Elephas maximus indicus: one gene and its partners. The protein of the gene in region 4 purifies or fractionates together with the protein of the main gene of each other region. This does not show direct contact. Links are inferred from orthologs where the notes say so. Each region holds a gene or a part of one and is shown on either strand. Other genes may lie near its edges. The genes, in order: VBP1, PFDN5, PFDN4 and MAPK7.

Region 1 (7,706 bases), on a different chromosome or scaffold from region 4:
TTCTGATCCACATTCCAACGACACTCTTTAATGAGATGGAGAAAAATCACCAACTTCTTATGGAAGGGAAAGAGCCCGGGATAAATAAAGCATTTGTGAAGAACAGAGACAAAGTGGGAGGCCTCACTCTACCTGATTTTAGAACCTATTATACCACCACAATAGTCAAAAACAGCCTGGTACTGGTACAACAACAGACGCATAAACCAATGGAACAGAACTGAGAATCCAGACATAAATCCATCCACATATGAGCAGTTGATATTTGACAAAGGCCCCAAAGCAGTTAAGTGGGAAAAGACAGTCTTTTTAACAAATGGTGCTGGCATAGCTGGATATCCATCTGCAAAAAAAAAAAAAGAAATAGGACCCATACCTCACATCATGCACAAAAACTAACTCCAAATGGATCAAAGATCTAAATATAAAATCTAAAACGATAAAGATAAGACTGTATAAAGCTCTCAGATGAAGTTCATCCTCTGAATTAGATTTCTAAATACATCTCTAGCTGAGCACCATGAATGTAGTAAAAAGGCGCTGTTATTGTTGTTTAGTGCTGTTGAGTCAATTCTGACTCACAACGACCCTCTGTACAACAGAAGGAAGCACTGCCCAGTCCTACGCCATCCTCACAATTGTTGCTATGTCTTAGCCCGCTGTTGCAGCCACTGTGTCAATCCATCTCATTGAGGGTCTTCCTCTTTTTTGCTGACCCCTCTACCAAACATGATGTCCTTTCCAGGGACTGGTCCTTCCTGATAACATGTCAGGCACTCCTTAGAACTGCGGGTTTAAGGCACTAAGGAAGTGTGACACTTAGTTATGAGCTTACACTATGGGTCAAGCACTGTGCTAGGACCAGAAGTAACACTGAGCAAGAGAACTACCATGGGCTGCTGGGTAGTGTGAAGGGTTAAGCACTCAACTAACAGCTGAAAGGTTAGCAGTTCAAACCCACCCAGAGGCACCTCGGAAGTCAGGCCTGGTGATATGCTTCCAAAAAAGTTACAACCTTGAAAACCCTATGCTGCAGTTCTACTTTGCACACATGGGGTCGCTATGAGTGGAAATTGAGTAGAAATCAACTCAATGGCATCCAACAACAAGAGAACTACCATGCCTTCCTCCACCTAGCAGAATATGGTGGGTAGGCTGTGGAACCCCATGGATGGCCTAAGTTCAAATCCTAGATACCTCACTTACACCTTGTGTGACCTGTGACAAGTTACTCAAGGGCTCTTTGCCTCACTTTCATCATCTGCAAAATGGGAATAAGAATACCTACCGTCTAGAGTTTTACAAAATCCTTAGAAAAGTGCTGGCACATAGTAAACACTGAAAAATTTTATCTCTTGTTACAACTGTTGGGACATAATTATAAAGAAATAAATGGTACCAGCTCGGGGAGAAAACAAAGAAAATAGTTACAAAATTATATCAACAAATGCAAATACACGATATAAACCTGAAAACCAAACCTGTTGGCTGTAGAATCTATTCTGACTCATAGCGACCCTACAGGACCAAGTAGAACTGCCCCATAGGGTTTCCAAGAAGCAGCTGGTGGATTTGAACTGCCGACCTTTTGGTTAGCAGCCAAGCTCTTAACCACTGTGCCACCAGGGCTCCATACAATATTAAGTGCCAATCAAAGTGCTCTACACAAAATAATAAAGAAATGAGTCTTTTGAAGAATGTGAGGCATGATTAGCAAAAAAAGTAGAGGTAAAGCAATCCAGGTAGAAACCAAACCGAAAGTTTGAAAAACTTCCGTTGATATTTTATAGTACCTCTGCCAGAACTCAGTAAGGACAGACAGATAATACTGGCCTGGAAGGACAGTCAGAGATTTTCTCTCGTTATTCAAGTAATATTTCTGAAATAGCTTGACAGAAGGACAGAGTTAGTAGCTTCTACTTTTTTTTTTTACTTGCTTCTCTTTGTTTGGACTTGGGTTGGTCTCCCCGTGAAGCCTCCAAATTGCGTCCCCACCTTCTGTCTGAACCCAATTCTCCACTAAGGTGTTAGAATGATGTACCTAAAACCAAATATGATTATACCGTGGCTTTATTTAGAAACCTTTTCATGGCAGTCCACTGCCTACTGGATAAAGCCTCAGTTACTTAGCAACACATACAAAGAACCTCAGGATCATCCTAATCTACGTTACCATCCGTCTCTCCTACCATTCCCCCAGAGACAACAGATCACTGCATTCCTTCAACAGATCAGGTCCAAAACCAAAAACCAAACCCAGTGTCGTCGAGTCGATTCCGACTCATAGCGACCCTATAGGGCAGAGTAGAACTGCCCCACAGAGTTTCCAAGGAGCGCCTGGTGGATTCGAACTGCCGACCCTTTGATTAGCAGCCGTAGCACTTAACCACAACGCCACCAGGGTTTCCACAGATTAGGTACCAGCCTCTATTTTCACATCTTAATACCTCAAAACCAACTCTTCAGCCTACACCACGTTCGATTCATTATATTCTGTCCAATTATTTGTCTGTCTCTCCAGCATCTAGGCTGAGTCGTGAGCTTTTTCACGTTAACCTTCTCTAGGTTTCCAAAGGCCGCAGCTAAAGAAACCCGGCAGCGGTGCGGTCCCTCAGGTCGCCCTGCCTGCTCTCCGAGCCCCGTCCGCCCCTGAGTCCCGCCAGCCCGCGCTCCCTTTTCTCTCAGGCCGCATTTCCTCAGGGTGGACCGCAGTTGAGATTAAACCGTTTAGATGCGGTGAGGGAGAGAAGGCCGAGCACTCCCGCCCTGGACCTTGAGCTCAGCTCCGTCCTCCAAGAGTCAAGGCCGAGGTGGGGTGAGAGGACGAGAAAGCTCAGTCCGTGGCCTCGGGCCAAGGAGCCTCGGGCCCGCGTGCCTCTTACCACAAACACGGCCACGGGAATCCCCAGGTGGAGCCGCCGCCCATTCCCTGTGGCCACTTCTCCGAGGCCACAACCGTCCTTAGCAGCCGCCATCTTGGGGAAGCGTGTGCGGCCAGGCTCCAGACTAACTGCCTCCCAGGCCGCCGGCCCGCCTGAGGGCCGTGATTGGCTCGCCAGGCCCTGTAAGCCCGCCCCTTTCCCGTGAGTCTGCTCAATAATCGGTGCGCGGAAAGTAGCTACTCTTCGCTGATTCGCCCAACCTGTGGGTGCTGATTGGCTGCCCCCAGAGTGACAAGCGTGGAGGCGGCAGCCTAGGAGCGGCTGAGGGCTGCTGGAAGGACTAATTTCGACCCTTGGGTAAACGGGTCTCGGGGATTTTATGGGTGCGTTTAGGGCTGGAGAGCCCGGGAATCGGGAACCAGCCTGGACTACACTCCACCCCAGAACAGGCAGCATGCTCCAGAATGGCATCCCGTTCGACCCTGTCTCTTCTCGGACAAGATCTAACTTGGGACCTAGACGCTTACCATGGGAGTTTGGCCTCTGCCCCTTTCCGGTCTCACCATACAGGGAGCTTCCTGCTCCATGGAGGGGACTTAGCTGGTGTCTTATGAAGTGCAGCCGCTGGCCTGATTCTAGTCAATACTACCCCCATCGTACCAACCTTTCCCGAAAACCGCCTTTGTTCAGAATCTCATAACCCCAGCTCAAAGGTTTTCCAACTTCATAATCTCTGTATAAATTCCTGAGAATTCTACCTACACTCCTAGGCCCACAAACTTCCCCAGCAACGTCCTGCACTACAACACATTGAAAGAAAGAGCTTTATTTTTTGAAAACAAGGAATTCTTGGGTCTCTTTGCTGACATCTACCTACCATGCTTTGTTCTTCCCTTTGCTTTCACTGGAATGCTTCCTGAGGAGCCCTTCACCCCCTCAGACACAGTCTACCATGAATAAGGGATAAAAGCCTGTCCCCTTCCTTAGTGGGGACACATATACGTAATAATGATAAAAACCTGTTGCCATCGAGTTCGACTCATAGTGACAGAGTAGAACTGCCTCATAGGGTTTCCAAGCAGTGGCTGGTGGATTTGAACTGCTGCCCTTTTGGTTAGCAGCCCTAGTGCTTAACCACTGTGCCTGTGCCACCAGGGCTCCAATAATAATACTGGCTAACATTTATTAGGAAGCTCTGGTGGCGTAGTGGTTAAGTGCTATGGCTGCTAATCCAAAGGTCAGCAGTTCAAATCTACCAGGCTCTGGGGCAGTTCTACTCTCTCCTATAGGGACTCGATGGCAACGGGTTTGTTTTTTTTGGGTGAACATTTATTAAAATCTAACTGTGTACAACTTAACAAAAAGACAACCCAATCAAAAAAGGGTAAAGGACTTGAACGAGCATTTCACCAAAGAGGATATTCGAATGGCCAACAAGCACAAGAAATGATACTCAACGTCATTAGCCCTCGTTACCATTGTTGTTAGTCAACTCGGCTCTGTCTCACAGCTACGTTGACTGGTCCTGCACCATCCTCACAATAGTAGGTATGTTTAAGTCCATTGTGGCACCCACTGTGTCAATCCTCTTCCTCCTTTTCACTGACCATCTACCAAACATGAATGAAGTCCTTCTCCAGGGACCTGGTCCCTCTTGATAACATGTCCAAAGTAAGCGAGACAAAGTCTCACCATCCTCGCTTCTAAAGAGCACTCTGGCTATACTTCTTCCAAAACAGATTGGTTTGTTCTTCTGGCAGTCCATGGTATATTCAATATTCTTCACCAACGCCACAGTTCAAATGCATCAATTCTTCTTCAGTCTTCCTTTTTCATCGTCCAGCTTTTGCACGCACATGAGGCAACTGAAAAGACTATGGCTTGAGTCAGGTACATCGTTGTCATCAAAGTGACATCTTTGCTTTTTAAGATTTTAAAGAAATCATTTGCACCAGATATGCCTAATGCAATTGCAGGGCAATAGATTGCTTTTATATGGCCTTTCTCACCATGGTTTTGTAATTCCCACCAAATGACAGGGCGGGAATATGCAAATGATGTGCTTGTGGCCCACCAAGGGGACTGGATAGCTTGCTAATAATGTAAATAAGGTGCATGGCACCCTTGTGGGGCTGGAATCATGCAAATAAGGTGTATGGAACCCTAACAAGGGGATTGATCAGTTTTGCCATTCTGCCAGCCTTAAAGGGTGTCTTAGTCATCTAGGGCTGCTGTAACAGAAATACCACAAGTGGATGGCTTCAACAAACAGAAGTTTATTCTCTCGCACGCTGGTAGCCTAGAAGTTCGAATTCAGGGTGTCAGCTCCAGGAAAAGGCTTTCTTTCTCTGTTGGCTCTGGAAGAAGGCCCTTGCCATCAATATTCCCCTGGTATAGGAGCTTATCCATGCAGGAACCTTGGGTCCAAAGGACATGCTCTGCTCCCGCCACTGCTTTCTTGGTGGTATGAGGTCCCCGTTTCTCTGCTCACTTCGCAAGAGAGATTGGCTCAAGACACAATCTAATCTTGTACATTGAGTCCTGCCTCGTTAACATGACTGCTACTAATCCCATCTCATCAACATCATAGAGAGAGAATTTACAACACATAGGAAAATCACATCAGATGACAAAATGGTGGATGATCACACAATACTGGGAACCATGCCAAATGGATACACATATTTTTGGGGGACACAATTCAGTCCATGACAAAGGGACACATGGAGAGATGGAGAGAGGAGCTGTAACATGGAAGACAGCAAGAGATGGTGGCTTGAGGTGGCAGGAATCAGGAGACTGGTGCAAGATGGCTTCAGTGGGGTTTGTTTGGTTTTAAGAAGTCTTCAGGGGATATTTTTGGTTTAAAGTTTAAAAATTATTTCAGGGCAATATTTTCCGGGGATCATCCAGCCTCCATGGCTCCAGAAAGTCTGGAGTTTATGAGAACTTTAAATTCTGTTCTACATTTTCCCCCTTTTGATCAAGATTCTTTTATAGAATCTTTGATCAAAATATTCGGTAATGGCAGCCGGGCACTATCCAGTTCTTCTGATCTCATGGCAAAGGAGCAGTTGTTCATGGAGGCAAAGGAGCAGTTGTTCATGGAGGCAATTAGCTACACATTCCATTTCCTCCTCCTGTTCCTGACTCTCCTTCTTCCTCTGTTGCTCTAGGGGAATAGAGAACAATTGTTGTGCCTTGGATGCCTGCTTGCAAGCTTTTAATCTTTTGATTTCTTGACTACTGCTTCCATGGGCCTTGGTTATTGACCTAAGTAAAATAAAATCCTTGACAACTTCAACATTTTCTCTGTTTATTGTGATGCTGCTTATCGGTCCATTTGTGAGGATATTTGTTTTCTTTATTTTGAGGTGTAATCCATGCTGAAGGCTGTAGTCTGTCAGTCCACCATCTGGAGTCAGTGTCTCATACTGTGGTGGCTTGCATATTGCTGTGATGCTGAAAGCTATGCCAACAGTATTTCAAATAACAGCCAGACCACCCCTGATGGACAGGTTTCAGTGGAGCTGGGAGACTAAGATATTAGGGAAATGCAAATCGAAACCACAATGAGCTATCATCTCACTTCCATTAGAATAGCAGTGATCAAAAAAACAGAAAACAACAGGTGATGGTGAGAATATGGAGAAGTTAGAACCCTCATCCATTGCTCGTGGGAATGTAAAATGGTGCAGCTACTGTGGAAAACAGTTTGGCAGTTCCTCAAACAGGTGAACATAGAACTACTATATAACCTAGCAACCCCAATCCTAGGCATATACCCAGAAGAAGTGAAAGCAGGAATGCAAACAGAAACCTGTACACCAGCGTCCAAGCCAAGGGGCCCTGGCAGTAGGACTGTTGTTTTTGTTAGGCGCCGTTGAATCCGTTCCGACTCACGTTGTTGTTGTTCTTAGGTGCCGTCGAGTCAGTTCCAACTCATAGCGATCCTATGCACAACAGAACGAAACACTGCCCGGTCCTGCACCATCCTTACAATTGTTGTTATGCTTGAGCTCATTGTTGCAGCCACTGTGTCAATCCAACCTCCTTGAGGATCTCCCTCTTTTCCGCTGACCCTCTACTCTACCAAGCCTGATGTCCTCCTCCAGGGACTGATCCATCCTGACAACATGTCCCAAGTATGTAAGACGCAGTCTCGCCATCCTTGGCTCCAGGGAGCATTCTGGTTGTACTTCTTCCAAGACAGATTTGTTCGTTCTTTTTGGCAGTCCATGGTATATTCAATATGCTTCGCCAACACCACAATTCAAAGACGTCAACTCTTCTTATTCATTGTTTTCCTTATTCATTGTCCAGCTTTCACATGCATAGGATGCGATTGAAAATACCATGGCCTGGGTGAGGCGCACCTTAGTCTTCAAGGTGACATCTTTGCTCTTCAACACTTTAAAGAGGTCCTTTGCAGCATATTTGCCCAATGCAATGTGTCTTTTGATTGCTTGACTGCTGCTTCCATGGCTGTTGATTGTGGATCCAGTTAAAATGAAATCCTTGACAGCTTCAATCTGTTCTCCATTTATCATGATGTTGCTCATTGGTCCAGTTATGAGGATTTTTGTTTTCTTTATGTTGAGGCGTAATCCATACTGAAGGCTGTGGTCTTTGATCTTCATCAGTAAGTGCTTCAAGTCCTCTTCACTTTCAGCAAGCAAGGTTGTCTCATCTGCATAATGCAGGTTTTTAATGAGTCTTCCTCCAATCCTGAAGCCTCATTCTTCTTCATATAGTCCAGCTTCTCGGATTATTTGTTCAGCATATGGAGTAAATAGGTATGGTGAAAGAATACAACCCTAACGC
Region 2 (7,427 bases), on a different chromosome or scaffold from region 4:
CCCCATTCCTAGTCCCTGATTAATGCAAAAACAAAAACATTCTGGCCAGCTGGCACTTTTATTAGCGTTAAACACAAGCTCGACGAGACCCCCGCCCCCGCCCTAAGAAGCCATGCCCACAGAGTCCCAGGCCCCTGAAGCAGGGTCCCTCCGCTCTATTTCTGCAACAAGTTCAGGCCTTGGCAGTGGCCTGAGCTGCTCCCAGAGCTGTGAGCTGCTGAATCTTCTGGCTCATCATCTCCATAACAGCTGTGGACGAAAAAGGAAGAGTAAGACCCTGGTCAGAACCTAACCTAGAGGTAAGGAAAAATGACAGGTTTGAAGGCAGACCACTATTTACAGTTTGTTAATAAAGTTTTTAACACAGTGATCCACTGTGGGAGACACACAGTAACACAAATTCAGATCCTACAATGTGTTAAGTCATCAATACATTAACGAATGAGCAAAGCTATTTTTTAATGAGTCAGACATAACCAGAAAATTATAATGTGATAGATTTTTGCCTTTAGAAGTAGTTCTAAGTCCTGACTGCAACAGAATCACCTGGGGAACTTTTAAAAAACACTGACCCCTGGGAACAATTCCCAGAGATTGATTTAGTTGGCCGGGAGTGGACCCAGGCTTGCTTTTTAAACTTCCCAGGTGATTCAACGCACAGCCAGGGCTACAATTGCTAGTATTAGTTTGGGCTATGTTTCTTTCCTGCCATTCTATTCCAATTAGATAGGAGCTCCACAAGAACACAGACATGATTTCCTTCCTCCAAATTTCTCAAGCACCCAACCAGGGATCTACAAATAGTGGGTACATAGGTCGAAAGAGTAACACAGATCTAAAGAATGATACGTGAAAGCACCACAGAAAGAGATACAAAAACATGGTTTTAATTTAGCAAAAGGAACACACCCATGATTCACCCTGCAATCCACTTCTTTACCATGGAGGTCAAAAACAGTGTCAGGAGGTGCCCCAGGCCAAGCTTACCCTGTTTCATGGCATGCTTTTCCTGCAGAGCTGGCTGGATTTTCTCCATCTGCTTGGTAAGGAAGTCTACCTTCCTCTTGAAGAAGTCCTTGGCATCCTCAGCTGTCTACATAGGTCAGAGGTTAATGGGGGATAAGAGCAGACCTCATGCTGCACCTTAGATATTTCCCTGTTTAGAAGGGCATCCACGTTTCCTCCAGCTCACCTTCTCTACATAGTAGCCAGTTCCCACATCGATGAGCACATGTTCCACATCATGTAGTTTCCCAGGGACATACATCTGAGAAGCAAGGATTAAGGGAAAAACTAGCCTAGCATTACCCTTGGTTCCCTGTCAGCCAGCCTACTTGACCTCCTAAGACACTTCTTTTCTAAAATGCTGAGACACAGGTACTGAATAATCTAGAGGCTTGAGAACTATACCTCTAAACTCCAGATGGGGAAAGACAGAGAAAAGTTGGTTCCCTATGGAGAAAATGACATAAGATGGAACACTCTCTTGCCCTGACCCCATCCCCCACCCTCCAAGCAGTTTTCATTAAGACTTCATATTAGCTATTCCAGAAAGTCTAGACACAATGTTTTCCCACTGCTCTAGCGTAGTGAAAGTGAAAAGTCAGCCTTGTTTTTCCTTAACATCTCCAACCATGGACTAGATAATTCCTAAGGGATTTAATGTTCATTATTTAACCATTCCCAACTACACTGCTAGCCCTTCACTACAGTGCTATCACACTTCAAGTCTATGTACTCCCTGGTACTCACAAGCTGTTAGCTGGATGTTGGCCCCAAGTTAGATAGGGGAGCTGGAAAGTGTGTATAATAAGAGGAGTGTTCTCAAAATCATGGGGGACTGTGGAGTAATCAAAACTACCTTCCGGCCCTTTTTTCCCCAGGGGAAAGGAAGAAGGCAGGAGAGCAGTTCTTTTAGCCTGTCAGTTCTCAGACTACAGATTACAAACGCTGTACCACCATAACCTGCTCATGCAAGTAAAACACTCAACAGGTGGACACAATCCCTGTTGCTTAGCGACCGCAGTTTAGGAACAGTTTCTATATCCTATTCTTCTATTGCTCGTGTCTTCTACCTAGTTTACTAGCCAAAGTGTAAACCCCCAGTTTTATCTCCATATTACATTAATATCTTCAAACAGCAAAAGGGAAGTGTGTATAATAAGAGGGGTGTTCTCAAAATCATGGGGGACCGTGGAATAATCAAAATTACCTTCCCCCCTTTTGTTCCCCAGAGGGAAGGAAAGGAGAAAGCAGGAGAGCAGTTCTTGCCGAAAGGATACAGAACTCGTCAGTGGGACAAGTAATTCTTTCCCTGTGAAAGCAATAAAGACAAACACCTGGGGAAAGTTGGCAGCTCCAACGTTAAGACGTTAAAGGGAGTTCAAACATGGCACAGCACCCAGAGAAAGAATGAAAAGAACAGAAACAGGGGCAGCTCTAGCTAAGCAACATGCAAAGGGTTCATGAAGCAGTATACAATATGTAATGGATTGTTTTCTTCCCTCAGGTAAGGAAAACTAGATTAGGAGGTGGTACGAGAGGAGAAGCCGGCTTGCCACATTCCTCAGGTTGCCCTCACCCGCCTAACCCATACCCTCGTTGCTCTTGTTCAGCACGTTCAGACAGTCCTTGGCTTCCACGTACTTGGTCTGTACCACTTTGAGCTGGGCAATGGACGTGGACAGGAATTCCACTTCCTGCATATAACGGGAAACAGGGTCCGTACAGGGGCTTGAGAAAGAGGGGAGCACGGCCGGGGAGGGGGCGGCACCTGGGACGCGGTGGGGCTTTCGGCTGGGAACGGAAGCTTTCCAAACTGGGGAGGAATGCGGGCGAGGGAGTAGTGTGGGCAGGGGAGATATGAGGCGGAAAAGGGGCGTCTCAGGGGCCCGTCCCCACCTGGTCCAGCTGGTTCTTCAGCATTTCTAGCTGCGGTAAATTCAGCTCCGTGATATTAACCGACTGCGCCATGTTGGGAAGGACTAACGAAGGGAAAGCCTGTTCGCCGGCAACGCTCTAGGCGTCCACTGCACATCTCTATGGCTGCGCCGGGAGGCCTCGCTGCGCCGGACATCTCTATGATCCTCCGTCTCGGAAGGGAAGGAGGGACTGCCACCTCTCCGGCGCTCCCGTTTGGTTAGAGAAGTTAACGACGCTCATTCTATAAAGAAACCTAAACCTAGTTCAGTAAAGTTGTAGCAAACAAGACTCCTGCCATCCAGGAACTTAAAAATAAGACAAGTACTGTTGAGTTGATTCCGTTTCATAGCGACCCTGTGTACAACAGAATGAAAACACTGCCGGGTCTTAAAACCACAGTATTGGAAAGCAACGTAATGTATGCTACTCCACGTGGGTGGTAGTGACTGATAGGCAAGGAGCAAGTTCTTTGGACAAATGAATATGAGTCTGGAGGCGGAGAGAACGGTAAGGAGGTACCATTGTCAACCAACAAGTACAGCAGAGTTTATTGATTAATGCAATCTATTTTACCATGTGTTGTATGAGGCATCCATCATCCAGTTTCTTACTGTGCTGGCTTGCATGTTGCTATGATGTTGGAAGCAATGCCATCAGTATTTTAAATACCAGTAGGGTCAGCCATGGTGCACAGTTTTGAGCAGAGCTTCCAGACTAAGAAAGACTAGGAAGAAAGGCCTGGTGATCTACTTCTGAAAATTAGACAAGGAAAACTTTATGGATCACAACAGAATATTGTCTGATTGTTTCGCTTTGGACACATCATCAGGAGGGATCAATCAGTCACTGGAAGAGGACATCATATTTGGTGAAGCAGAGAGCCAGCAAAGGTGATGGAAAAACCCTTGGTGAGATGGATTGACACAATAACCACAACGATGGACTTGAAAATGCTGGTGATTGTGAGGATGACAAGCCTAGGCAATATTTTGTTCTGTTGTACATGAGTTGTACGTGTTGTCCATGAGTTGGAGTGGACTCAATAGCAGCTAACATACAGATAAACATAAGTTAGGAGGGATATATGGAATGTAAAATGCTATTTGTGCTTCAGAGGAGCTTACAGTCCATAAGCAGAATTCCACACACAATCTGCTGCTACAGTACATGGCACTGCCAAGTGTAATAGCTGCACCTTCAGAAGAGAATAGCTAGTCTCTAATATCCACTTAGGAGAGGGGCAGGGCAACTGAGGACTAAAGCTAGTGTCACTCCCAGGATATAGACATGATGGTAACTGGCCAAGATGCTCTCAGTGAGTCTATCTCTACCCTTGGGCCTCTATCCCCACTGAAGAGTATTTTGATGCACTTCTCTCCTTCAGCTCTGTCTGTTGAGGCCAGGCCAAACCAGCTGTTCAATGGCTTTGTCTTCCCAAGGCTCTCAGACTTGAATTCCTGCAATCTGTTCCCACTCACTTAAGTGCCACATACCACATAGTAGGAGTGGGGCAGTAATCTTGTCTTTAAATGTTCTCAAGACGAGTTGCATAAAAGAGAGTTTAAATAACATCTTTATTATATTAAGTCGAAAGGAAATGTTTCATATAAAACAGCGGGGAAAATCACTTAAAATATTTAGCCTAATGGTTTAATCTAAGTTTGGAGATAGAATAGTCACATGGCTTCTGTCAGAGATACGACACTTCCAATGGGTTACCGGAGAGAGACAGGCAAGCCATAGGCGACTGGTGCAGCTCCAATAAGATACTTGAGTCTGGGAGCCTGGCGGGCCTGGCTGACATAGTAGAGAAGGGGGGCCCCTGGACCTGCTCCAAGCCAGCCCTGCAGCAGAGCCGCCGTGTAGCGATCAATGTCACGGTCAGTCACATCCCAGAGATTACCCAGAAACAAGGGGCTGGGAAGAGAAGGGAAGAAATACAAAGTAAGGGCTCTGAAAGAGAATACATAGGAAAACATGATTGGGTGTGTATGGGGTAAGTAAAGAGGGCTGAACTAATGAGGAACTCCCTTGGCCCAGAGTTCTAAGGGTTAAAAGTCCTGGCATACCAGGGAGCTAAGACAGGAAGAAAGTAGAGCATAAGAGAGGTAGGTTCAGGGTTCAAAGCTGGGAAAGAAGGTGGAGTGGGAGCAGGAGTCTTGACGCCCCAGGATGGGCCTGCCCCTCAAGACTCACCAGCCAGCCATGATATACTTGAGCACAATGCCAGCTCCCTCCAGGTTTCCATGCACAGCCAGGGCCGCACTGCTGCAGCCAAACAGCAGGGCCACTGCCCGGCAGCTCAGCCGCAGGACAGCCTGCCCATCTAGGAAGCGGGCACCAGCCCCATGTCCTGCATAGCTAGAGTAGAAAGGGGAGAGATGAGCCTTGACCTACCAGCATCGTGTCTCTGCCCCAAGGCAAACCACAGTGGTCCCCTCCTGGGATGCCCCTCCCCGCATCTCCCCCTCTCTGAGCACTCACATATATAAGTCATGCTCCGTCAGGGCCGCCTGCACCTGCTCCGGGCTTGGGGTCTCCCCAACCACCCCTCTCCAGCCGGCTTCACTGCAGGGAAAAGGCAGCAGTTAGAACAGGGAATGGCATGGCAGGGGCCATGAAGCAAAGAGGACGCTAGGTAGAAGGCGGACTACAGCAAAATTCTGGAGAAAAGGACATGTTGTCTCTACCCTTCCCACCCGCCTTTCTTACTCTCACCCCTCTGACCTGCTAAAAGTGGCTCGAAATTGCTCCTCTGTGCTTGACAGGTTATTGTGAGGGTTCAGGACATAGAAGGTGCTACGTGGATCCACGCCTTGGCTCAGCACTGATGAGGCCCCGGACTGAGGAGGAGACACTGGTGATCAGGATACTGGTCTGGCCAGTAGGCCCAAGTTCCGGCATGCTCCAAGCCCCTTTCCATTTCTGACGCATTCCTAAGGCCCACTCATGTCTCTAGAGCATTCTGCCTGTGTCTTGCCTCAGGTCTCCCCCAGTAGCCAATCATCCCCAGCTCCACACCTTGAGCCTCACCTCTTTGATGATGGAGTAGGTGAGTAGAAAGCGGAAGGAGGGCAGACGGGTGAGAGGCAGTGCCCGGAGGCTGGGCATGGTCTCCCATGGCAGCTTCTGCAGGTCCTGGGCAAAAAGTACTCAGAGGTTACTGTCCCCAGCCAGGTATACATAACAGGCAGAAGGCGCACAGGGATGGGACAGCACCCATTGTCCATCTGCTCCTCCAGCTCCTTACCTTATCTAGCACCAAGACAAGGTGCCTATTGCTTGGCACTGTCAGACCTTGTAGATGTCCCACTGCCTCACTTAGGAGCTCTCGGGCTCTCTCCGGCTGGGCTGGGCACAGCCCATAGGCCAAGGCCTGAATGTCCTGAGGGGTGAGAGTACTGGCACCGCTGAGCAGGATCTGCAGGGGAACAGTGGTTAGTGGGTGCCATCACCCACTCACAGTGGCCTTTTTGCTAGTGGAAGAGAATTAAGTCCGCAGGCTAACTGCTTCTTCCCCTCCCTGCTTTCTTAACTCACTTTCAGCAGAGTGGGATTGGGATATTTCCAGCCACATTCCTGCAGCAACTCCTCTAAATGGGAAGCCTCCTGGCCAAGGCCTGGGTCCTCACTGGATGGCAGCAACAGCCCCCGCCAGCAGCCCAACACATACTTCTCTAGGGAAGTGATGAGAACCTGAAGGTGGGAGAACAGAATCTTGAGTCAGAGAGGAAGCTAAGTTTCTTTCCCCATGGGTACCAGCATTCTGGAAAGAAATGAGTTTTCCAATGTGTGTATTTGTCTTGTATATCTTTCTGCCAGTCATAGAAGGTAAGAAACCAGGGGCTGGGACTCTGACATGGTGTCACTCTATTTTGACAAATGTGACCAAATCCAGTTGCTGTCAATTTTGACTAATGGTGACCCCATGTGTATCAGATTAGAACTACGCTCTGGCATCCCCTGAGCCATTCCTAGGGCAGGTCTGCCTTCACCCCACCCTGGGGGCACACACCTCCATCCTATGATCCAGTTCGAGTCGCCCCTTCCACCATTCTCGCTTGTCAGTACAGCTGCTGTTCTCTTTCTGTTCCTTCTGGATGGCATCAAACTCCTTTAGGGCTGAGCTCAGAGAAAGCTTTGGGAGACAGGGTCATGAGATCTCTGCTTGTCTGCATGACTGCCATCTCTCCATGCCCCAGCCACAGAGCCTGAGCAGCCTGACCAGAAACCCACGCCAGCCCTACTTTGTCCCCTGGCCCAGGAAGCCTACCTTGCTTTGGGAAGTGGGGATCTGCACAGTGACCGGGGGATTGTCTTTTTCCAGCCGGGTCAGCAGGAGGGTGTTGCCCACAGTTCCAGGCTGGAGGGTGGCCAGGGCCAACACACACACAGTCACCCCTGACACAGAGGACATACCCCAAGTTATTTCAGCTGTTGCAAAGAATTCCCTTCTCTGGCTTCTGTACTAATCCCTATCCAACACTCGAGATAATGCACGAAGT
Region 3 (7,457 bases), on a different chromosome or scaffold from region 4:
GTTACAAATGGGAAGTACTTGAAGTGGTTAAGAGCTCGGCTGCTAACCAAAAGGGTTGGCGGTTCAAATCCACCAGCTGCTCCTTGGAAACCCTATGGGGCAGTTCTACTCTGTCCTATAGGGTCACTGTGAGTCAGAACTGACTTGATAGCACAAGACAATAACAAGAAGATACAAACAATTTTATCACAAACGGCAATCATTATGACATGCCGATAAGGTTTCTCCTATAGTGGGCAGAGGGAAAAAGTGTCTGTCTGTGTAGCTAACCTAAAACCAAAACCAAACCAAACCCACTGCCTCCAGTCAATTCCGACTCACAGAGACCCTGCAGGACACAGAACTGCCTGCATAGAGTTTCTAAGGAGCACCTGGTAGATTTAAACTGCCGGCCTTTTGGTTAGCAACCATATCTCTTAACCACTATGCCACCCGGGTTTCACCTAGCAGTGATTACTCCTAACATCGAAAACATCCAGAGCAGCATGTAGCATCTACCACGCGACTCTCGATGGCTCCTAAAGCAAAGAAGAAAACTTTCTGTGTGGCCGCCACTTTCTGTTTCCGCACACGCTCTTTTCCCATCCTGGGTCTCCCCCGGCCCTCTATCCTCTGCCATTCTGGCTTTCCTTTTGTTAAATGCACTCAGGCTCTTTGCAGGAGACACTCCCTCTCTGGAATGCCTCGCCCCCTCGGAACTTTCCCTTCCTCTCGGTGTGTAATCTAACAGATCTCTGCTGAAATGACACCTTCTCAGGAGGGCCTTCCCTGAACTCAGACCAAACCTTACTCCAGTCCTCATTTCACAAGTGCCTTTTCTTCACAGTTCTTACCAAAGGTGGAAATTTTATATTTTTTGGTGTGATAATTTGAGAAACAGGCTGCCTTTCCCCCTAGAGCACATGTTCTGTGATGCTCTGAGGACAACGACTTTACTCCTATTCACCTAACACAGAGACTATGCCATATTGCCTGCTCGAAAATCTCTGCTGAATGAAAGGATAAAAGGTTGGCAACCGCTGATTTAACCGAACCCATAATGGAGTACCCGATGGAAAAATTTTGCAAAGTCCAGGGTTCGAATAATTTTTCTACCATTTCCTCCATTTCTCTACACATCAGTGTCCTCATCTGTAAGATGGGGGCTAACATAACTAATATCTTTCAGGGTATTAAAGGTCATACCTAACAGATGGACCAAATTAGCAAACTGAAGGTGAAGTGAATCTCCCAAAATTTCAGACCTGTTTGAATCACCACGGCCCTGAACCCTCTTCCAGTCCTCAATAAGCATTTGTGAATGACAGACCAGTAGGGTGACCAGCTCATTCCAGTTTTCCCCAGGACTTTACTGGTTTTACCACTGAAAGTCCAGGGTCTCAGGAAACCCCTCAACCCTGAGCAAACCAGGATGGTCTCTGGAGACCAGGGAGAGGTGGCTTAAACTATGCAATACTGAAAAGTAGGAGAGCAAAGGAAGCAAATGCTTCTGAGGTGGCCTCAGAAGTGGAATGAGAACAGACATACAAAAACCTTGGAAAGCAAGCACCTTCAGCCAGGGGATTCTCATGGCATGGGAGTTAAAAACAAGGCTCTGAAGGCAGAAGTCCTGTTTAAATTCTAGCTTTGCCTCTATGCTTGTTTCCTCATCTGTAAAATGGGGATAAAAATATCACATCCCTATAAACCTGTAGTAGCACACAGGAAAGCCGCAATAACTATCGACTGGCATTATGTCCTTGCTCCGCCACCACCACCACCCTCATTTAATTTTTCTTTTACCTGGAGATCTTTAAGCATCGGGGTAGATTTACTGGATTGTAAATCCCAAACTGGAACCCTGGTGGTGCAGTGGCTAAGAACTCAGCTGCTAGCCAAAAGGTCGGCAGTTCGAATTCACCAGCCGCTCCTTGGAAACCCTATGGGGCAGTTCTACTCTGTCCTATAGGGTCGCTATGAGTTGGAATCCACTCAGTTGTAACGGGATTCGTAAACCCCAAATAGGAAGCAACTTGCTTAGCAGGAAAAAAGGTGGCTTTGGGAAAAAACAAACCAAACCTGGGTTTGAACCCCAGATATACTATTTATGAGCTCAGTCACTTTGGGGACACTAACCTCTCTGTGTCTAAGTTTCTCCACCTGTAAGGGGGAAAAGGGGAGGATAAGGGATAACGGAAGACTGCTGGGTCCTGACACAGCCTCTGGCTTCAATACCGGTTTTAGCCTTGCGGGCTCAGGGGCATGGAGTATGGACGTGAGCACCTCAGGGCTGGGCGCACCGACGTGAGGCCAGATAATCCGGAGGCGCAGGTCTGGCTCTGCCCCTCACCTGCTCTGTTACCTTGGGTAGGTTCCTCCACCTCTCGGAAGCTCAGTTTCCTTACCTGTGGGCGAGGGTACTACTAGCACCTACCCAGTAGTAGATCCAGGGAAACCGCTTAGTGTGATGGCCAAATGCGGTCACTGAGAGCTTCGGCTTCCCACACCCCAAGGGCCGCGGGGTCCTCAGACCTCCCAGGGGACTCAGCACCGCGAGAGGCGGCCTGAGCCTGCCGAGGGTCCCAACCCGGGCACGTCGCCTCTGTCGGGCGGCGGCCTAAGAAGACGCCCGGGGCCGCCGGGCGCCGGCAAGCCTCGCCGCGGGGCCATCCTCAGGGCTGAGACCTCGAACCCAGGCCCCACGCCGGGGCTCAGAGCTGCGCATCCCCAGCATCCCGCTGCTCCGACCCCCGCGGCCGCCCCCCGCCGGCTGCCGGAGCACCCGACACCCCGAAGGCCCCACTCACCGCCTTCTTCATGGTGGCCGCCATCTTGGGACTCGACTACGGCGCGAGGTGGGGAGGGCCGCAACGGCGCGATTCTCCCCCGTGCCCTCTCTCACTTCCTGTTGGCCCTGATCGCCTGAAAAATACAACACGATCTCCACATTCCCTTCTCGAAACCTTCAACCAACGATAACTAACGACTCGAACTCAGGAAGGAAGATGAAAGCTGAAAGCACTTGGTACATCCCAATTAAAGGGACAGGCAACCCCCTGTGGGCCCACGGAAACAGGGGGGTGTGGCAAGCAGCCACATAATCCAGCAGCCGGCGGTAGGGGGCGCCCAACGCAAAAAAGCGCAGAGGGGCGGGGCCGGGAGGAGGGGCGACTCCGTGGGCGGGGCCTGGAGAGGAGGAAAGGGAACTTCTATTCCATCTATCCAACAAACTAGCATTTTGATAAAGAGCTAAGAACAAAGGGCTTTGACAATAGGATGTGATATTTACGTGCACTGATAATTCAGAAGGTGTGAAGGAAGAAGTACCCCAATTAATTAATCTATTCCACAATATTATTGGACAACTACTGTAATTTTTTTTTACTGTGTACAGCTTGAGCCTGCCAGTTGCTAACTCAGCAACTCTAGATCGTGATTCTCTTTGTCCCTTTTTTAATACCGGGACTCCTTTGCACTTTTAAAAAGTCACGGAGGACCTCAAAGAGCTTCTGTTTATGTAGATTATATTTATCGATATTTACCACACGAGACCTCTTTAAAGTGTTAAAAAGCAAAGATGTCACTTTGAGGATTAAGGTGCGCTGACTCATCCATGGTATTTTCAATTGCCTCATATGCATGTAAAAGCTGGACAGTGAGTAAGGAAGACACAAGAAGAATTAGTGCCTTTGAGTTATGGTGTTGGAGAAGAATATTCAATATACCATGGACAGCCAGAAGAACGAACAAATTTGTCTCAGAAGAAGTACAGCCAGCGTGCTCCTTAGAAGGGAGGATGGTAACACTTCATCTCACGCACTTTGGAGATGTTATCAGGAGGGACCAGTCCCCGGAAAAGGGCATCATGCTTGGTAAAGTAGAGGTTCAGAGCAAGAGGGGAAGACCCTCAAGGAGATGGATTGGCACAGTGGTTGCAAAGATGGCCTCAAGCATAGGTACGATTGAGGATGGGGCAGGAGTAGGCAGTGTTTCGTTCTGTTGTACATGGGGTCGCAATGAGTCGGAGCCAACTCGACAGCAAAACAAAACCATACAAGAAATTAAAACATAAAAATATATATATGATTTAATTAAAAACAATAAGTTCATTCCATATTAATGTAAGCAACATTTGAATGAAAAATAACTGTTTTCCAAAACAAAAACAAATATTGAGAAGAATGGCATTGTTTTGCACTTCTACAAATCCTTCTAATGTCTGGCTCGGTAGAAGGTTGTATTCTCGTATCTGCTTCTGCAGTCAATCTGTTGCGATATGCTATTTAGTTGAAATACAGTGAAACCTGTGAAAGCCGGAACTCGATGGGAGTGCCTTGTTTTTCCAAGTTTTGCAAGTTTTCCCACCTTTGACAAGGTGCTTACTAGCTCTGTCTATCAAGACTCCTACCTCATTTTGGTTTGGGGTTTTCCTTCTCCAGCAGGTTTCTTCCTTACACAATTTCCAGCTTTCACAGGTTTTACTGTATATGAAGGAAATCTGGCTTCACCCAGATGTATAGTTGGAAAAAGGAAGCCCCTGTGGTTTCACTGGAAAGATCTCAGGGATCCCCAGGGGTCCTTGGGCCACACTGAGAACTGCTGCTCTAGACAAGTCTTCTCCTCTCTCCAAGTTCCAATTTCCTGTTTGGTTAAATGGGGGCAAGGGGACCTTATAGTGCCTCTGCTTTCCCTACCAAAGCACTTAGCCCCACAGTGACTTTGCCTGTTCTTCCATCAGATTCCCCGCTCTGGGCGCCAGGCCCTTTGTAGGCAAGTCTTCCCAGCACATAGCTCACACTTGCTCAGCACATATTTGTTGAAGGAAGGAGTTTCTTCAGGTTAAGTCTTTGCACAGGGCCCAGCACCTAGTAGATGCTCCATCAGTGACACCCATTCATGCAAGAGCTCACAAAGAACAGCTATATGGAAACACTGTAGAAGCAGGCAATGGAGGGGGAGACAGGACAAAAGCACAAAATCACCACAAATGGCACCAAGTGCATGAAGGAAACAAACGAGGGGCTGAGACAGAGAAAATCAAAAGAGCAGTAGAGACTGGCCCTGTAGAGGTGGCCACTGAGCTACGAATAGGAAGGAGCCAGCCATGGGGTAACCAAAGGAAAAGGACACCCCAGACAGAGGGGGCATTGGGGTGGCCACTGCAGTAACTGCTGGGTGTAACAAGTGGCCAGAAGCAGGTGAGGCCAAGGAAAGGTGAAACCAAGAGGATCTAAAGTGACAAATGACAGTTGTGTGAATCAGAGACCCATAAAGTAGGCTTGGAAACTCAGATGGTGGTGCCTGGAGGATACCTCTGGGGTGACTGAAATAGATTCTGTTCAGGTACTCACAATTAGGATGGTCCGCATGCTAATAGATGTGCCGCTGAGTAGCTTCCTCATCAGGGGCAAGCTTGTTATCATGCCTTCTCAACATCTGAGTCTCTTGTTATCTATTCATGGAGCCTAAATGCTACACCAGGACATGTTTGGCTCTGAGGACAGAAGGCCTAACTGAGAGTGGCTGGTATAATAGGGGGTCATTTTTTTTCCTCTAACAAGTGACATGGAGGTAGGTAAACCCTGGTGGCATAGTGTTTAAGTGCTATGGCTGCTAACCAAAAGGTCGGCAGTTTGAATCCACCAGGCGCTTCTTGGAAACTCCATGGGGCAGTTCTACTCTGTCATATAGGGTCACTATGAGTCGGAATCGACTCGACAGCAATGGGTTATGGGTGGAGGTAGGTGATGGCTGGGCAGGCTCAGCAGTTCCAGGAAGTTCTGGCTCTAGACTGGATATTCTGTGAGTCTTTGGCTTTCCCTTCACAAGATGGCTGTTGCTTCTCCAGGTCCTCATACAAGTACATATGAAGACAGGGAAAAGGGGACAGAGCCCACGTCACCGTTTACGCTCCCCCTCATGTGTTCTCTCTCTCTCTCTCATGTTCTCTCTTTTTCAAGGAGGGAAACCTTTCCCAGAATGCTCCAGCACCCTTGCCCTTATGTCTGTCTTTTGGGCCAGAACTGAGCCATATGCCAACCTCTAGCTCAGTCACTGGCAAAAGCAATGGATTAGTGATTACCTTAAACAATCATGATTGTTATGGCTGAAAATATGGCTGCCTAAATACAATTGCCACCACCTGTCTGTCAGTGTGTCATACTTTGGTGGCTTGGCTTGTGTGTTGCTATGATGCTGGAAGCTACGCCACTGGTATTTCAAATTCCAGCAGGATCACCCATACTGCACAGGTTTCAACAGAGCTTCCAGACTAAGACAGGCTAAGAAGAAAGGCCTGGCAAACTATATCTGAAAATCAGCCAATGAAAACCCTATGGGTCACAACCGAGTATTTTCTGATAAGTGCTGGAAGGTGAGCTCCCTAGATTGGAAAAAAAAAAAACAAAAAAATTTAGATTGGAAAAAAAAGGCACTCAAAATACACAGTGGCCACAACAATCAAGTCTAGCCTGCCAACAATTGTGAAGGTGGTGCAGGACTGGGCAAGGTTTTGTTCTGTTGTACTTGGGGTTGCCATGAGTTGGAGCTGACCCTGGCAACTAGCAACAACAAACACAATTGGGTTTCTGAAAACAAGGAAAAGGAAGAAGGAGGTAACAGCTGTTGGGCCAGCAGCCAACAGTGTCTTCCACGTGGGAGTTCTGGGTTATCAGACGAGGATTGTCAACAAGGGCTGGGTCAAATGGGGCTGGACAGAGGCTCAGGGACGAGGGGAGTGTCACTGAATCTGGACAGATGGACTGCTCCCTGACAGCCTTGGCTGTAAATTGGCTCACCTTGGAGACCCTTGTTTCATTGGTGCTCAGAGGTTCTCCTCCATTTTTCACAGTCCGTACCCCCTCCTCTCCCCAGCCCCGGGTGTCATTTCAGCTAATCTCTCTCCTAGCAGGAAACCCAGTTCTGCAAGTACACATCTGGGACTTTCAAGCTTTCTGCTTAGCATTCTTTCAGTTCCTTAATATCGAGAATTTCCAACTTTCATTTCCAGCTCTTTCGTTGGCTGGGGACAGTCCTTAGCTGTTTGCAGCAGAGAAAGGAAGAAGCCCAGGGTGTCCGTGGGAGCATCCGGAGACTGCAGGTGAGGGAAGGAAATCACTAATGACCCCAAAGACCACTTGGAAATACCATGCTGACAGAGGGTGAATGATGGCGTTCGCTTGCATCAGGTTGAAAACTGGCTGCCTGCTACTGTATTCGACCCACAAAGAATTTTTTTTTTTTTAATTGAACCAGCATTTAAACATTGGCATTTTTTAGTGTTGCTTGAGCTTGTAAGATCAAGTCTTGTCGACGCTTCACTTCCTCCTGAAGGTACCTGTTGATGCTGCTGATTAAATGGTGACCCATTTAGCTAAGCGGCCCTCTCCAGAGCCCGCAGATCCCCACTCATGGAATGGATACACAATTGGAGGAGCTGCCTCTGTGGTGGTCTACCTGTCAGGCCCCTCCAGGCCTAC
Region 4 (6,869 bases):
GGGCCGGGGCACGGTGGTGGGGCTGGCGGGGGCGACTCCATGGCACAGTCCCCACCAGGTGCCCAGGGACTGGGCATCTCAATGTCGGGACAGCCAGGCTCACTGGCCACAGGGTGTAGGGAAGGCTGGAAGCGGATCTGCTGGCGGATGCCCTCACGTCGGGCATGGAAGTCCTCAATCTCAGCCACGATTGCCTCCTTAATACGCTCCCGGGTGAGGGCTTCACGGTCAAAGGCAAAGTCAAAAGGTGGAGCACAGTCAGGCTCATCATCAGGGTCATGGTACTTGGCCAGGAAGGGGTGGCGCAGGGCAGCAGCTGCTGAGATGCGGGCGCCAGGCTCGAAACGTAGCATGCGGCCCAGCAGCGAGAGCGCCTGTCGGTCAGCGCCTGGGTACACCGTCTCCCAGGGCACGGGCTGGCGTGGTGGCAGGCTCTGAATATAAGCCCGCACCCTCTCAGCCCCCACAGCTTGAATCACAGCTGGTGACGGGGTACCCAGCACCATCATGATCAGCTGCAGCTGGTGCACATAGTTTTTGCCTGGAAAAAGCTGGCGCCGGGCCAGCATCTCCCCAAAGATGCAGCCCACAGACCACAAGTCAATAGCCTGTGTGTACTCATGCAGTGAAAGCATGAGCTCAGGGGCCCGGTACCAGCGCGTGGCCACATACTCAGTCATGAAGTACTGGTGTTCGGCAGGCGAGGTGCACAGGCCACGGGCCATGCCAAAGTCCCCAATCTTGAGCTCACAGTTCTCATTCACTAACAAATTTGAGGGCTTGAGGTCACGGTGGATGACCTGAGCCGAGTGCATATACTTGAGGCCTCGAAGCAGCTGGTACAGGAAGTAGCGCACATGCTCCAGCGTTAGTGGCTGTGAAGAGTGGATGATCTGGTGCAGGTCACTCTCCATCAGGTCCAAGACCACATAGCTGCAAGAGAGGCGGAGAGAGGCATGGGCTGGCCCTCCCACTTCAGGGAATAGCCCTAGCCTCAGTGCTCTGTCCTGACTCCAGACAGGTAATGAATGACCTTACTCTCTGCCCCACGGAATCCGCAGCATGGTATGGAGGAAGAACAGATTCTAGCTTGTCTACAACCGTGCCATAAAGTGGGTTAAATCACTTTTCTCTCTGGACCTAGTTTCCCCATCACGTAAAAGATGGATTTGGCCTAAACCTATGCTGGCTAATAGGTTTAATTTTGGGACTATCTCCATTGTTTGGTAATGGCTGCTAGAAGAACTATGACAAAAACTGGGAGGACGTGTCTACTTTCCGAAGAAAATTGTTCCGTGATTCATTAGCAACGTCTGCCAAGGAGTAGAATCAGTAGTGATGGTATGAATGTCCTATGTCTGCTACCAAATATACCGAGATTCTATAAACCTTAAACTCTTCTCAAGGAATAACAGTTGCCCTGGCAAGTCCATAAAGGAACATTTGTCCTGGAATCATCGGTATTTTCCCAGCCTGCCTTTACATTAGATTCAGCTGCCTTTTCGGAACTTCAGCAATATGGCACCAGCCTTCAGAAAAGGTCCCAACTCTGCCTCCTTTTCCCAGCCCCACTCCTTACACAGATTTGAACTCGCCATAGGGCACCATGGGCCTCAGGATGTCCTTGATGGCGATGATGTTGTCATGCTTAAAGTGTTTAAGGATCTTCAGCTCCCTCAGCGTTCTCTTGGCATTGGTCACCACATCAAAAGCATTAGGGATCTTCTTGATGGCCACCTGCTGGCCTGAAAACAGGGAAAAGGCAAGAACCAAGGAATGAGGATACAAATAACAACAGCTACCATATACTTACCACCTATATATACTGAATACCAAGCCTTGTGCTAAACACTTTACAAACATTATCAAATTTACCCTTCACAACTATGTTATGAGGCAAGTTGCACAGCTAGTTGGCGCTTGCATTAAGACTAATGCCTGTACTCAATCTATCTCCTACATCTCTCTCCATCTCAGACTTTACCATCCTCCCCCCCACAATCCTATATGCCAGCCTCTAGCTCCGGAATACATTTCTACCTGCCTGTGTCCCAGAAAGTAGACTGACACAATGGCAAAAGCACCAGACCAGAGTTTCAGAGACCTGTCCTTAACATGGAGCCTGGCCCACTGATGGTACCTAATCAATATGTGTTGAATTGAACCAGAATTCATATTCTTCCTTTCCTTCCTCCTTACGTGAGCCTGGGCAGGTTACTCCCTCTCTCTGGGATCCAGCGGCCCAGCCTGTGAGAGGTGAATGGCACTCCTGTCCAGGGGAGTGCTAAAGGTGGGAGCAGATCAGAAGCAGGAAGAGGGGCTCCTTGCCTGGGGACCTGGCTCACCCGTGAGGCGGCGGCGAGCAGAGGACACCACCCCGTAGGCCCCATTGCCTATGGTCTCGATGATTTCGTACTCCTCGCCCACGTCGAAGGTCACATCGAAGGAGCGGGCTTTGAGCAGAGCTAGGTTCTTAGCCGCCACCGAGGCTGTGGGATTGGCGGGCTCTGCCTTCACTTGCCCCGGAGGCTCCCCGGAGCCGTCCTCGCCGTCTTCCTCCTTCAGGGGCTCGGCCATGGCATCTGTGTAGAGATGCGGGTAAGGAGGGGGCCACTCCCAGCCTCAGTTTCCTCTCTGGGGGATGGGGCAGCAGGGCCATGAATTTTCAAGTTCCCTAAGCCGATGGGGCTGACAGGGAGCGAAAAGATGCGGCTGGCACGTGGCAGGCACGCTGTACCCGAGAGGCGGTGCCCACGCTGGGGGTCAAGGGTTAAACGCAGGGACAGCTGTGGGGGAGGGGCTGCGAGCCGCGGTCTGGGAAGAAAAGGGCGAGGCACTTGCGTTTCTCTTAGATCTACACTCACCAAACGAAGCCTGTCCCGACACCGCCTCAGGACGTTTGTAAGTTCCCAGGGCTCCCGGCCTATTGTCCGCAGTACAGTCGCTCACTGCTTTTCAAGAGCCGCGGCCACCACCTCAGCGTCGCTCTTTGCCGGGACAGACCCCCCGCCCCGCCCCGCCCCGCTCCGCCCCCCAGACCACAGGCCCTCCAGTCTTTAGCCAATCGTCGAGCGGTCTCTGCAGAGGGTCCCGCCTCTCATGGTTGTTGCGTCCAATCGGAGACGACCAATCGAGGAAGCCTCGCCTCTTCGCTGCGCGTCCGCATGTCGCAGTCCAACGCGCGGGCGGGAGCCGCCCAGAGGCTGCTTAGCGCTGTAATGGGTGTGCACCCCGCGGGGCGCCGCCCTCCGACGCATACGTTCTGGCAGCAGAGGCCCGCCTGAATAAAAGACCGCGCCCCTGTATTTACGCCATCCCTGGGTATTGGGTAAGACGCGTGCGCGCTGGCTCCCGAGGCGCGAGTGAATGGAAGACCGCACCCCTGTACGTACGCACGCGCACGCACGTCATCAATCGACCAATTACCGGCGCTGATGAGCCGCTGATCCCTCCCCCTCCTCCGAAGGCCGGCAGAGGGGGTGAGATGTGTGCGACCACCAGCTTGGCTGTCAGTTCCTTTGGACCCCTCTTCCTTTAACAGTCCTCATGGCCCGGGGGATTGAGGTCCCCATTTTCTCGGTCCTGTTTGTCTGCTTTGGGAATGCACCCTTCCTGGAACACAACAGTGGTCACGTCGAACCACAGAGATCCCGGTCTTCCGGGATTCTAGAGCGTCCGGCCTGGAACCGCCACTGACTTCCGGCGGCTGGTCTCACAGCTTGCGGCGTCCCTGGATTTCAGCGCGTCTTTTCTTGGCCTTTTTGCATGTTTCCTGCACGCCTCTACTGTGTTTTGCGACTCCCGTGCTCTGGGTCGCCGCGGAGACGAGGGCGATCAGCAGGCCGAGCTGTCCAGCCTCTGCCCTTCCAGAGCCAGAGGGCCAGCTGAAGCCCAGAGAGGGCACAGCCGCATTAGAACCCAGGAGCCCTCAGCCGTCCCAGGGCCCAATCGTTCATTCATGTAAAAAAAAAATTGCCACCAAGGTGATTCCGACTCCCAGCGACTCTATAAAACCAAAACCAAGCCCCTTGCTGTCGAGTCCATTCCGACTTATAGTGACCCTAAAGGGCGGAGTAGAACTGCCCCATAGGGTTTCCAAGGAGCACCTGGTGGATTTGAACTGCCCGCTTTTGGTTAGCAGCCCTAGCTCTTAACCGCTACGCCACCAGGGTTTCCAGCGACCCTATAGGACAGGGTAAAACTGCCGCCACGGGATTTCCAAGGCTGTTATTTTTACAGAAAGGAGCCCTGGTGGCACAATGGTTAAGTGCTTGGCTGCTAACCAATTGGTAGGAAGTTCAAATCCACCAGATGCTCCGCAGGAGGAAGATACAGCTGTACACCTCTGTAAAGATTTACAGTCTTGGAAACCCTATGGCGGCAGTTTTACCCTGTCCATTGGGGTCACTGTGAGCGAGAATCCACTCGAAGGCGACGGGCTTTTGTTTTAATCTTTACAGAAGCAGACTGCCACATCTTTCTCCCTCAGCCTTGGAGAAGCTGGTGAGTTGGAACCACCAACCTTTAAGTTAGCCGCCCAGTATTTAACCACTGCACCACCAGGGCTACTTATGTTCACGTAGCAAACATTTATCAAGCAGCATCCCTCTAAGACGCAGGGTTAAGGAATCAGAGGTAGATGTAGTCGCCAGTGTGAGCTGGAAGGAAGTTTTCAGCAGCGAGCAGAGCTTGAGGTAGGGCTATGAAGGAAGAAGCAATTTTGGAGTTGGGACTTAAAAGATGGCTGGGTTTCTGCCAAGTTAGATGAGAAAGAAGAACACTGGGACTGGGAAACAGGTGAGCAAAAGTGTGGAGGCAGAGAAGTAGAGGAATGCATGCCCTCTGCAGGTTTCTCCTTTGCCCTGAATTTGAATGGAAGAGGGAGAGATCAGGACAGAGCCCAGTAGTGAGTCTGAGGGCCAGACCAAGGGTTTATTTCTTATGTCGCAACCTAGTGGCCAAAGGGCTGGATCCAGACCAAAAATGAATTTTGGTAAACCTACACTTCTTTTTTTATCCATAAGGCTTTCACTAGCCAATTTTTTTTTGGAAGTAGGTCCCTAGGTCCTCTTCTTCGTAGTCTGTCTTAATTTGAATGCTCTGCTGAAACCTTTCCACCATGGGTGAACTCGATGGTATTTGAACTACTGGTGGCATAGGTTGCAGTATCACAGCAACATGCAAGCCACCACAGTATGACAAACTGACAGAATCAAGAGACCATCTCCAGAATAGATTTGACGCGTTGAACACTAATGACCGAAGACCAGATGAGCTGTGGGGACAACATCAAGGACATCATACATAAAGAAAGCAAAGGGTCATTAAAAAGACAGGAAAGAAAAAAAAAGACCAAAATGGATACAAGAAGAGACTCTGAAACTTGCTCTTGAACATAGAGTAGCTAAAGCAAGTGGAAGAAACGATGAAGTAAAAGCTGAACAGAAGATTTCAAAGGTCAGCTCTAGAAGAGACAGTAAAGTATTATAATGAAATGTGCAGGCCTGAAGTTATAAAACTAAAACGGAAAGAACACATTCATTTCTCAAGCTGAAAGAACTGAAGAAAAAAATCAAGACTCGAATTGCAATATTGAAGGATTCTTTGGGCAAAATATTGAATGACACAGGAAGTATCAAAAGAAGATGAAAGGAATACACAGAGTCACTATAACAGAAAGAATTGGTCGATGTTCAGCCATTTCAGGAGGTAGCATGTGATCAACAACTGATGGTATTGAAGGAAGAAGTCCAAGCTGCACTGAAGGCACTGGCGAAAAACAAGGCTTCAGGAATTGATGAAATACCAGTTGAGATGTTTCAGCAAACAGATGCAATGCTGGAAGTGCTCACTCGCCTGTGCCAAGAAATGCAGAAGACAGCTACCTGGCCAACCAACTGAAAGAGATCAATATGCGCGCCTATTTCAAAGAAAGATGATCCAATGGAATGCAGAAATTATCAGACAATATCATTGATACCACAGGCAAGTAAAATTTTGCTGAAGATAATTCAAAAATGGTTGCAGCAGTACGTCAACAGGGAACTGCCAAAAATTGAAGCTGGATTCAGGAGACAGCATGGAATGATGGATGTCATTGCTGATGTCAGACGGGTCATGGCTGAAAGCAGAGAATACCAGAAAGATGTTTACCTGTGTTTTATTGACCATGCAAAGACATTGGACTGTGTGGAACATAACAAATTGTGGATAACATTAAGAAGAATGGGAATTCCAGAACACTTAATTGTGCTCATGTGAAACCTGTACATAGATCAAGAGACAATCATTCAAAGATAACAAGGGGATACTGCATGGTTTTAAATCAGGAAAGGTTGTGTCAGGGTTGTATCTTTTCACCATACTTATTCAATCTGTATGCTGACCAAAACTGAGAAGCTTATATGAAGAAGAGCGTGGCATCAGGATTGGAGGAGGACTTATTAATGACCTGTGATGGGCAGATGACACAACCTTGCTTGCCAGAAGTGAAGAGGACTTGAAGCACATACTGAAAACCAAAGACTTCAGCCTTCAGTATGGATTATACCTCAATATAAAGAAAACAAAAATCCTCACAATGGGACCAATAAGGAACATGACAAACAGAGAAAATACTACGGTTGTCAAGGACTTTATTTTACTTGGATCCACAATCAATGCCCATGGAAGCAGCAGTCAACAAACCAAACGCCGTATTGCATTGGGCAGATCTGCAAAAGACCTCTTTAAAATGTTAACAAGCAAAGATGCCACTATATGCCTGACCCCAAACCATGATGTTTTTAATTGCCTCGTATGCATGCAAAAGCTAGACAATAAATAAGGAAGACCGAAAAAGAATTGATGCCTTCGAATTATGGTATTGT

The links.
Region 1: the proteins of MAPK7 (region 4) and VBP1 purify together in Homo sapiens (affinity purification with mass spectrometry; 3 studies listed by BioGRID and IntAct, with this or other methods). This does not show direct contact. The link is inferred for Elephas maximus indicus from reciprocal best matches to the Homo sapiens genes MAPK7 and VBP1.
Region 2: the proteins of MAPK7 (region 4) and PFDN5 purify together in Homo sapiens (affinity purification with mass spectrometry; 3 studies listed by BioGRID and IntAct, with this or other methods). This does not show direct contact. The link is inferred for Elephas maximus indicus from reciprocal best matches to the Homo sapiens genes MAPK7 and PFDN5.
Region 3: the proteins of MAPK7 (region 4) and PFDN4 purify together in Homo sapiens (affinity purification with mass spectrometry; 3 studies listed by BioGRID and IntAct, with this or other methods). This does not show direct contact. The link is inferred for Elephas maximus indicus from reciprocal best matches to the Homo sapiens genes MAPK7 and PFDN4.

What each region holds. Positions count from the first base shown.
Region 1 is NC_064846.1:784,951-792,656, forward strand, and holds the start of VBP1 (prefoldin subunit 3), read right to left. Parts: upstream 3,008-7,706; 5' UTR 2,976-3,007; coding exon 2,883-2,975; intron 1-2,882. UniProt on the Homo sapiens protein: Binds specifically to cytosolic chaperonin (c-CPN) and transfers target proteins to it. Binds to nascent polypeptide chain and promotes folding in an environment in which there are many competing pathways for nonnative proteins.
Region 2 is NC_064822.1:108,807,054-108,814,480, reverse strand, and holds PFDN5 (prefoldin subunit 5), read right to left. Parts: upstream 3,010-7,427; 5' UTR 2,974-3,009; coding exon 2,902-2,973; intron 2,700-2,901; coding exon 2,597-2,699; intron 2,315-2,596; coding exon 2,283-2,314; intron 1,268-2,282; coding exon 1,193-1,267; intron 1,094-1,192; coding exon 988-1,093; intron 250-987; coding exon 173-249; 3' UTR 73-172; downstream 1-72. Other genes in the region: ESPL1 (separin), read right to left, coding at 4,638-4,839, 5,119-5,283, 5,407-5,490, 5,650-5,765, 5,956-6,060, 6,173-6,343, 6,463-6,618, 6,938-7,060 and 1 more. UniProt on the Homo sapiens protein: Binds specifically to cytosolic chaperonin (c-CPN) and transfers target proteins to it. Binds to nascent polypeptide chain and promotes folding in an environment in which there are many competing pathways for nonnative proteins.
Region 3 is NC_064843.1:15,426,243-15,433,699, forward strand, and holds the start of PFDN4 (prefoldin subunit 4), read right to left. Parts: upstream 3,008-7,457; 5' UTR 2,811-3,007; coding exon 2,787-2,810; intron 1-2,786. UniProt on the Homo sapiens protein: Binds specifically to cytosolic chaperonin (c-CPN) and transfers target proteins to it. Binds to nascent polypeptide chain and promotes folding in an environment in which there are many competing pathways for nonnative proteins.
Region 4 is NC_064820.1:213,458,306-213,465,174, forward strand, and holds the start of MAPK7 (mitogen-activated protein kinase 7), read right to left. Parts: upstream 3,005-6,869; 5' UTR 2,865-3,004; intron 2,583-2,864; 5' UTR 2,578-2,582; coding exon 2,346-2,577; intron 1,746-2,345; coding exon 1,580-1,745; intron 934-1,579; coding exon 1-933. UniProt on the Homo sapiens protein: Plays a role in various cellular processes such as proliferation, differentiation and cell survival. The upstream activator of MAPK7 is the MAPK kinase MAP2K5.